Linked DNA regions of Nothobranchius furzeri. Each later gene encodes a partner of the first gene's protein in a complex. Links are inferred from orthologs where the notes say so. Each region holds a gene or a part of one and is shown in the gene's direction. Other genes may lie near its edges.

What was found. The genes of interacting proteins can lie anywhere in the genome.
Region 2: lin52 (region 1) and mybl1 share a complex: the UniProt entries of both Homo sapiens proteins name them as parts of the DREAM complex. The link is inferred for Nothobranchius furzeri from reciprocal best matches to the Homo sapiens genes LIN52 and MYBL1.

What each region holds. Positions count from the first base shown.
Region 1 is NC_091758.1:32,966,997-32,972,070, forward strand, and holds the start of lin52 (protein lin-52 homolog), read left to right. Parts: upstream 1-1,956; 5' UTR 1,957-2,039; coding exon 2,040-2,058; intron 2,059-3,300; coding exon 3,301-3,375; intron 3,376-3,450; coding exon 3,451-3,488; intron 3,489-3,582; coding exon 3,583-3,649; intron 3,650-3,831; coding exon 3,832-3,915; intron 3,916-5,074.
Region 2 is NC_091747.1:51,691,133-51,696,329, reverse strand, and holds the start of mybl1 (myb-related protein A), read left to right. Parts: upstream 1-1,761; 5' UTR 1,762-2,382; coding exon 2,383-2,405; intron 2,406-3,820; coding exon 3,821-3,920; intron 3,921-4,064; coding exon 4,065-4,136; intron 4,137-4,278; coding exon 4,279-4,371; intron 4,372-4,848; coding exon 4,849-5,069; intron 5,070-5,145; coding exon 5,146-5,197. UniProt on the Homo sapiens protein: Transcription factor that specifically recognizes the sequence 5'-YAAC[GT]G-3'.

The sequences.
Region 1 (5,074 bases):
AAGTAGTCAAGTCTTTCAGAACTACATTGACAATTATGTCAGCTGATGAATTAATTGTGTCATAATGCAGATAACCTTTAAACTACAGACAATTATCAAAGGTGTTTCTAGCTGTCTTTTGGGGTTCTTGAAGTAATGTTAAATGGAATCCCAGGACCCATACATTTTCAGATTAATAAATTTATTTTTACTATCTTTATTTTTTTTGGGGGGGGGGGGGGGGGTAAAATAACCAGTATCCTAATAGCATTGTAGTTCTTTTAAACTGTGTTCTTTGTCTAAATAGAATTTTACAAGACTTACTAAGAAACACTTGCCCTACGTTATTTTTTTCAACCTGTCTTGTTGCCTTGAACGAATGGGGGAATTAGCGCCCCCGGCTGACAAATAATAGAACAACAGTCTGATTTCCAAAAGACAGAAGGAAAGATTGGAGTTGCTGCCCTCCAGTGTCTGAAATCTGGTACTGCGCCATCACGTTTTAGCCGTTTAGAAGAGAATATTATTAGCCTCTTTATCTTAATAAAGCTTTAAAAGAAATTGTAATGTTTAGTTGCTAGCTGCTAATATCTCCAGCTGTAGTTCGTTGACAAAGTTTCAGTTGAACACAGAAAATAAATAGATTTGTTGAGTTTTAATAGGTTTAAGTGAAAACGTCTGGCTTTCACATTATTTTGACTATGCTGTTAACACTAATTTAAAACCTGCATTACTTTTAAGTGATATAATTTATTTAGAAAGTTTATAAGTTAAGAAACAAGTAACCAAATTGAATATGGGTTCTTTTTGTTCTTTGTCTAAATAGATTTTTACAAGACGGACTTAGTAGAAACTCTTGCTCTATTTTTTAAAACACTTGTTTCGTTGAAAGAATGGAGAATGTGCGCCCTCTGCTGGCAAATAACAGAACAACACAGGTTTCCAACTGCATGCAGACAAGAAGGGAGTATTTGCTGCCCTCTAGTGTCTGAAATTTGATACTGCACATCCGATTTTTAAATCCATTTAGAAGGGAATATTTAGCCTCTTTAGATTTTTCAAAAATTCAATCACATATAGTTGCTAGCTCCGCTGGCAATAAATAGAACGACACTCTAATTTCCAACTGAAATCTGGTACTGCACGTTCCTTTTAGACATTCTGAAGAGAATATTTAGCCTCTTATTTTAATAAAGCTTAAAAAAAATCCATCTCTGTTTTAACTGCTAATAGCCCCAGCTATAGCTAATAGCTAAAATTTTGTTGTACACAGAAAAATAAAATAGATTTGCTGATTTTTAATTTTTAAGTAGTTTGTACAAGTGAACTAGGCCTGGGACGATAACAGATTTTGCAGGACAATATATTGTCCAACAAATTATTGCCAATAAACAATATTATTGTTGACATTATCGAGACCAAAATAATCACTTATATAATTTTAATATATCATAATAATGCAAGTACACCCTTTAAAATGCAGCAAATAAAACTCTTGTTAACATTAGAATGTTCAGAATCGAACTTCTAAATAAATGAATAAAACAAACAAACAAAAAAAAGAAATAAATAAAACGGACTTTCACTCACTGTTAGAAAATATTGCACCAAAAACCATAAAATAGATCCTGTATTGGGTCATCAAAGAAAAAGGGTTGGGAACCACTGACCCAGACTCTTCGAACTTGGACCAAATTGTTGTACACAGATAGCAAAATCTGTTCAACATAGATTGTGATATGTAAAACCACAGATCTATTTGTAAAAACACCGATTTTCTTTTCTTTCACAAATGTTGGAATGAAATTGTGTAAAATTGTACAAAATGTTGAAATGTATCTTGCCTGGCCATGGAACTCGCTGTGTGCTTAGCACCCCTAAACCTCTGATGCTAGGATCGCCCCTGACACTTATTATAAAATTATTAGTTTATTCATTTTACCCCCAGGAACACGGCTTTGGTGTGTAAGAGTGACCTCTTGTGGTGTGTTTGTGAATTTACAAGGCTTTGTCAACATTGACTCCTATTCGTTGTCACGGGTCACGTGATTATTGTGAAGATGGCGTCTCCGAATGGAGGTAAATTTTAATTCCTTACACAGATACGCTGTTAAAAAATGTAAAATTTAACACTTTAAATCACACAAATTATTCCACGAATGTATTGATGATGTAGCTGAACACCCAGAATTCAGAACTACACATATCAGCGTTGTAGTCCGACTTCTCGGAGGTGGTTTTGTTTGACTGAAGGCTCCACTAGCCCCGGTGTTGTTAGTCCACCAACGTTCAAGGAAGAACAGTAGACAGCTGGCTGCAGACCTTCCGTAACTCCTGATATTTTAAATACTACTAGCTTTTGAGTTGCCTCTTTGTTAAATACTGGCCTAATAATTAATATTTACGACATTTTTCCAACATTTTGAGGCATTATTTGTTTCACATCAACATATTTTGAAAGGTTTTTGAAAGGTTATATATATATATATATATATATATATATATATATATATATATATATATATATATATATATATATATATATATATATATATGTACACACACACACACTATGTAGGGTCATGTATTAGGAAGCATAATGCTAACACAAATTGTTACACTAAATATTGGTTTTAAGAATAGTTTTTGAATAATCAGCACACAGTTGTTGTCACAGCCTAGCAGAAATGGTTGTATAGGGACTTGAATCAAGCAACATTTAAAAATGAAAGGTATGATAAATAAACTAAACCTCCCAAATATTAGTAATTTTTTTAAGAACAGCTGATTAATCAGTATTTATCTTGTACACATATTTTGTTTTAATACAGCCAACATATTGTATTAACTGTTGTGGTTACATTTTGACATTTGTTTGGCTGTAGTCATATGGGCCATTCCCATCTGTACCGGGTCGGTCCGGGCCGGGTAGCGTTGGTTGTTTACATATCTGGGTGGCCTGGTATTTTTCCGGACCAACCAAGGCTCATTCTCAGCCCTCTTCTCGAGGGGGTCTGCTTCAGGCCGACCAGGGCCAACACACCCACTGCTGACAGCAAATTCACACCTTCCATTAGAGCAAGCCTCTGATTGGTGGGTAGAATCAGCCCACATGGGCGTAAGACAAGGATGTGTGGAATCAACCGGGCCAGGATGGGGCCGACTGGGGCTACCCGGCCCGGGCCGACCCGGTACAGATGGGAATGGTCCATAAGTCACACATTTTACTTGTATTTACATCAAGAAGATCACATTTTGTTCTAAAGCTCTGAAATTTCTGCCTGAATTCTGAACATAATTTTACTTCCTTTTCTTTGCCAGGTGATGATTTTGAAAGCTCTTTGCTTAGTTTAGAAAAGCTGGACAGAGCGTCACCAGACCTGTGGCCTGAGCAGTGTAAGTTTTCATCTCCTCTGTGCTTCTTTATGGTCCCACAGTTTAACCTTATCTGTCCTGTCATTTCTCACACAGTACCCGGAGTTGCAGAATTTGCTGCATCCTATAAAAACGTAAGATACGTTTTTTGTCATTAACTGAGATTAATACATTAAATAATCATTTAGATTTGGCATTGCCGTATAATATCATTTATTTTTATTACAGCCCATTACAAGCTCACCCCCTAAGTGGATGGCTGAATTGGAAAGCGAGGACATCGAGATGTTAAAAGGTTGGTACAATTGTTTTTTTTTTTAATATATGTTTAATTAGAAAGATTTTCTCTGTGCCTGCAGCGTTTCATGTTAAAACTGTTGTACTGGTTAGTGTTTCCATAAATATATAATCTTGTCAAGGAGAAACTGAGTTGATCAAACTGGAGCTTAAAATCTTTGCCTTGTAATCACTCTGCAGAGCTGGGTAGTCTGACAACAGCTAACCTGATGGAGAAGGTCAAAGGACTTCAGAACCTGGCTTACCAGCTGGGTTTAGAGGAGTGTAAGTACAAAACACACAAACAACATGAAAACATAGGCTGTGATGTGTTCGTGTAGTTTTTAGTTTTCCCAATCAGCTGTTTACGTCTATCACCACCAGGTGGTGCTAGTAGCCTTTCCACTACTACGTTTAGTTGCAGAATCAGATTTACTTTTTGTTTGTTCAAAATAGGCTAAAATCACATGGATGTTATTTATTATTCAAAATCAGAGTAGATGTTATTGAAAGTGCAATTGTAATTTAGAGTCTGCATAAAACAGGTTGGCCGTAAGATCTTTAAAACAAGGATTTAGGTCAGTCTTGTTAAATGTAAACAAGTAAGAAATGAGTGCATGCCACCAAGAGCTCACACAAGCAAATGCTCAAGAATATGATGGATGCACAAGCTCTTGTTTTAATCCATTCCCTCCCGCCTCCATTGTAATAATCCTTCTGGAGTGTGGATTAGAGAGATGTAGCTAAGTGCTGATATTATCCTAAAAGAAGATAAAAATGTTTTTAATGTTTCTAGCGTAAGAGAATCGTTGTACACCTCCTCTTCAGCGACATGTGTAAATAAACTGAAATGGTAGCAAATTGTGTAAAATAATGTGAGTTTAAACAGCAGGGTAGATGGCAGCCATGATGTCGGTTCTTTAATGATAATAAATAGTTTGTAGAAGGTTTAATAAAACTTTAATGCCACTTTAACAAGAAAATGTTCATCTATAATAAAAAAATCACCCCAGAGTGATCTACATTTGGTGGTAAAGCAAATCAATATTTTAATGTTGCAGAAATCAGATTGATTCATTTTGTGAAATAATTAATTTTAGAAATGATTTGTTTGCCTTGCCTCCAGCAGAGGAAGTGTGTAGTGGCTCTGGTATGAAGACGCTAGCTGTCATAGGTGCAGGGCCGCAGCCTCTGCAGTCATGTCATGTACTCGGGGATGACGGGACACAATGATGGTTATTATTGGTGTCAGAGCAGGCCTGTAATCGCTGCCTGTTTAATGCTCTCTGGTTTAATTTTCTTCTTTTCCTGGCTGTCAGGGGAGGCCGGTAAATCTCAGCTACTTTTTCATCATGTTTGTGCGCTCTTCACTGCCCGTAAACACGCCCCGCAGAGGACAGGATTTACTGCCCCTCCCCCATAACATGTGGATCATTAAAAGAGC
Region 2 (5,197 bases), on another chromosome or scaffold:
CCACATTCTTTCCAAAGTGAGTACTTGCTGATACCGAGTACCAATACTGAGTAAAATACCGCTGACCTATATCATGTTTTGGTACAGATTCAGCTCAACAGAAAATAAGAAGTCAAATACTTGTCTTAAAAAATGTGAAGGATATAAGTCTGTTGATGATCTGCCTAAGCAATTAGATTAAAAAGAAATCTGAGCATTGTTTCCACTCTGAGCTTTTTAGAAGTGACACTCTGAGCCGAATCGCTTAAAAAGAAGGATGTGTTTACTAGCTTTAGTCTGTTATCACGACTCAGCAGTGAGTTGGTGATTTACACTGAGGGCATTGGCATTAACTAGCATAACGCAGCTAATCGTTTTGCTTTCAAAGCTAAGTTTTAATAGGGAAATGGAGAGTGAGTTTATTTTAGCAGTCACACGTCACATCAAGTAAAAAGCAAACAACCATAGGGTTAACTACAAATGGAAAGACGTGGATTTCCAAATAAATTCAGACAAAAGAAAAAAACAAAAGTATATAGGCTAGAAGTACAAGACAAACTATAAGAATAATCTTTTGTGTTACACTATATTAAAAAATCAGGACAATATTAAACCTGAAGCAAAAAACAGCTCAACACACAAATAAAAGCATTTCCTCACCTCTCATGAACGTCAGGAGAAGCAGGAATTTGTGTGTTTTTCCTGCACAAGGTTCCAAATATTAATACCAGCAGCCAAATACTCTATCAACCACATTTTCTTTATTTCAAAATAAAACTAGGTAACAAAGTCTTTTACACATTTTATGTATATTTATATGTCTTTATTTATTATGATTTTTACAAAAACAGATATATGCACACATGTATTATTTCTTGCAGCTACAATCCAAGTCTTTCTGCAGCATTTTAGGCCATTACTCTGATTTCTAACAAGCTCTTTGCATAATTCAAACAAGCTTTAATTCAGTCGCTGTTATCTTTATGCTGGTAGTCTAAAAATACTTGTGCAATTATGATGCAATAGGAAATTGCTCATTTTGTAATCAGATTCAAAATTGTGTGAAATCGCACAGTATAATTTGATTATTATTATTATTATTTCATATTGTTATTGTAATTATTATTTATAATAACGTGAGTGGAATTAAAGAGGCTTTTATTTTCATCAGAATACAACGATCCTACTTCCGCTTTTCCGTCTTTAAGAAGCACACAGTAGTCTAACAGTGAAAATGGGACACATGAGGGACACCTACTATTAGAAAACTGTAAAATGTCTCATAATTTGCATCCAAAATTTTAAAGGCTTACAGGGGAACAAAAGAAAACTTTCTATTGTTATTATAGATAGTTTGTCTGCTAACCACTGCAATAAAAAAAATTCAGAGATACTAATGCTAAGATTGCATGTCACGGGGAAAATGGGAAAAACACCGGTGAAAGTCTAAATGCCCACTAGATGGCAGCAAATTCCAGTTTCTTAAGGCGGCAGAGAAAGTTCGCTCTCAAACACAATGCAAATATTATTATATCACAAAGATGATGTAATATTTTGAGTCACAGATGTTTTATCATGCCAATTATGAGCAACATACATTTCACAGTTTTGCACACGAACCCTACATGATCTGCGAAGAACTTCACGAGGAGCTATATGTTTAAGATATGAGTGATTAAATGTGCAAATGTTTGTTTTATGGGAAAATAGGTTCCACATCTTCTGTCACCAACATCCCCAAAGGACCAAAGCCCCCGCAGCCCCGTCAACCCGTCTGAACCCACCACATCCATTCTCCCGAGGAGTTGTGAAAGTGAACACCCGCCTCCCTCAAATCTCATCCAATGAAGAGTACGCTCGTGAAAAATTCAACCAATCGGTTACGAACAGTTCCTCCTCAATTGACCTATTAGCTTTGAGCATTCACTTCTTTTTTTTGGCAGCCCAGTTTTGACCAATAGGAACCGAGGCCGCCTGCGCAGAGGGCTGGGCGCGAGAATCGGCGGGATGGACAAAAATCATAACGCCACGGAGCTGTACGCACAGGGGAAAGATTACGAGAACCCGTTCTGACGGCGAGTAATGAAAGTAATGTGTCGGTTCCTCTATCTAAATTCCGGCGTTTTGTTGTGTAACACTACATTTTTAAGAAAGACGTACCAGCAAGGGACACAAGGACGACTTTCATATCTGCCGAGACGATTTTATCGGAAGTGAAAATGGCGTTTGCACAGAGAGCAATGTTATGAAGACAGTTAGCCCGTTAGCTAGCCGCACAGTTACCGCAAACAAAACAGCAATGACTAACATCAGTTTCTATGGATAAACCTCTGTTAATGCGGGACTTCAGAAAATTTCCAAACACAGCTTCGTCTTTGATAATATTCAATCATCCTACTGGCTATGGACAACGTCAAGTCACGCAGGTAGGTGATTTTATTAGATATGGTTCACTTGCCATCTTTTTGTTTGCCCCTTGTGATCTTATCAGCCTATAAATGTAATAATTTTGGATAATTCAGCCTGAATGTTGTGGAAGCAGGGTGGGCGTTAACGTTCATGTGCACCTGAACATCTCAGAAGATCTACTGTAGAGGGATATAATAAAGAACAACAACAATAATAATAATAATAATAATAGCATAATAATTCAAAAGAGCATTACCCAAAAGTGTAGTACTGGCTGAATTAACCCTAAATATTTTTGTTAGCCTCAAGGATAACCTGCTGACTTTATTATAACTTGAAAGTCACTTTGGACAAAAGCGTCTGCTAAATACATCAACATAAATGAATAAAAAGCAAGACTAAAGTGCATACTGCAGTTTACTACTATTTCCCCCCTTCATTCCTTTTTTTTACTGCAGGGCAAAAAAGACGTGGAGAAATAAACCTATAAGTCCATGAAGCTCTTTTAATGTACTCTGTCTCTGAGTTGAGAAGTAATTTAAACCAAAAGCAGTAAATACTTGAGTCATGTGATTCCTAATCAAATGTTGCCATATTATGATGCAAAATGTCACATTGATTGCTGTATTTATTCGTTGGTTACTGATTATGAAAATCTGTGTTTTTGGCATCTAACTCACAAAACCGTGTCAAACAAACTAAATTGTTGAAATGATCATGTTAAACTGTTTTTTGATTTTTTATTAATTTAAATAACCAGCAAAACTGTCGCAACTAAAATATAAATCATCACTGAAATCTTTCTTTTGTTTATCAGGGTCAGTTTCAGTCCTAAAAAATTAGGACATTTTGATATTATTGGTAAAAAGTATTCCAGGTATTGCTATGTGATTTAAAATTATGCTAAGCTAAATGCCAGGACTTTATATTAGTGTGTTTATTTTGTATTTTGAACCAGTGGACCGTTAGGGCTTTGCCAAGCCTTTGACCACACCTCCACCTTATTCACAGAGGCTCACTCTCATGCACCTCTGCTACTGAAAGGCTGCTGTTGATGCGAGATCACCAGTTTCATTACACCTCTCCTTCCTGTTCGACTTTACGTCCAGACTCGGTCACTTTTCTCCTGCTCAAAGTGAGAAAATCTGGCCTCATAAAGGTTTCTACAGCAAAGAACGTCTTTTTTTCTTACTCAGATACAAAACCTAAGTCAGTGTTGCACAAATCCGGTCAAACAAGTAGTTAATGCCAACATTCTGAATTAGATTTAGCATGGTAAAACTGGGCTTTTGTAATCTCCCAAGAATGCAGTGAAGAACTGAAATGGGACCTGGTTTAGTTGTTGAGAAGAAAACACTCCTAAGGCACTGATGGTGAGCAGAAAACAATAGTGTTTTTACTTTTTTCTGCTTTTTTCACCTGTGTGTTTTAGCACTGATGAAGACGACGAGCTGCTTTCCACAGATCCAGAGAGTAAAGAAAAGAACAAAGATAAAAAGACGCTGTGCAAAGTCAAGTGGTCTCGGGATGAAGTGAGTTTTTCAAGTTCAGACTAAAAATGTAAATGACTGCCGCCCTAATATGTAAGAACAACTTTAATTGCACCCTCATTTAGAAAGATCAGGGTTAACATTTAATTCTCACCGTCTATATTTTCTGTTATTCTATTTTTTAAGGATGAAAAACTGAAGAAACTCATAGAGCAGCATGGAACTGAATCCTGGAAATTAATCGCTAACCTTTTTCCTGTGAGTATTAAACAGAAATCATTTTTAATATCTCCTTCTGACTCTTACCTGCACCAGCTGCATTTGGATGTGTAACTGCAAAGATACAGTTAAACACAGCTGTCATTGTAGCTGACAAAAGGTGTTACACTTTGTGTCACAGGGGAGGACAGATGGTCAGTGTCAGCACCGCTGGCAGAAGGTGCTCAACCCCGAGCTGGTAAAAGGACCGTGGACAAAAGAGGAGGATCAAAAGGTAAGTGGAGCTGGGAGGTTCTGTTTGGGAGAGAGGGATGACTAAAGAGCAGAAGGATAGCAGAGCTGTAGGGAGTTTGTGAAGAACGTAATATCTATGACACTCAGAGAACCTGTTGTGTCCTCACGCAGCTGTTTTCCCGCTTAAATTGGGTTTATTTATCCCCCACCCGCCCCTTTTCCTATTTGTGTGTGTGTGTGTGTGTGTGTGTGTGAAGTGAAATATCCATTACATCATTCTTTAAAGAAAAAAACACACATGCACACTTTCCAAAGCTAGAGTCCAGCCCTTTCTTAGTCAGGGAGATGTTTTTTTTAGCTTATAGAAATGAATTCCTTCAATGGATCAATGCTGCTAAATAATGTTCTTTAAAGAATAGATTCAAACTGATTTTATTACAAGTGTTTACATAGAGCCTAATGAGCTTTGTTTATGCCCGGGCTATTTATAAATGCTTGTGGTTTGCTGTTGGTGCAGGTGATCGACTTGGTTCACAAGTATGGCCCCAAGCGCTGGTCCGTGATCGCAAAGCACCTCCAGGGAAGGATTGGGAAGCAGTGTCGGGAGCGTTGGCACAACCACCTGAACCCGGAGGTGAAGAAGTCTTCGTGGACTCAGGAGGAGGATCAAATTATCTACGAGGCTCACAAACGGCTGGGCAACCGCTGGGCAGAGATCTCCAAACTCCTTCCTGGACGGTAAAATAACACCATAGTGTTTTTATTTTCTTTCAGTCAGTAAATTTTAAAAGATGATCAATCCTTCCCTCAACAGGACAGACAATTCCATCAAGAACCACTGGAATTCCACCATGAGGAGGAAAGTG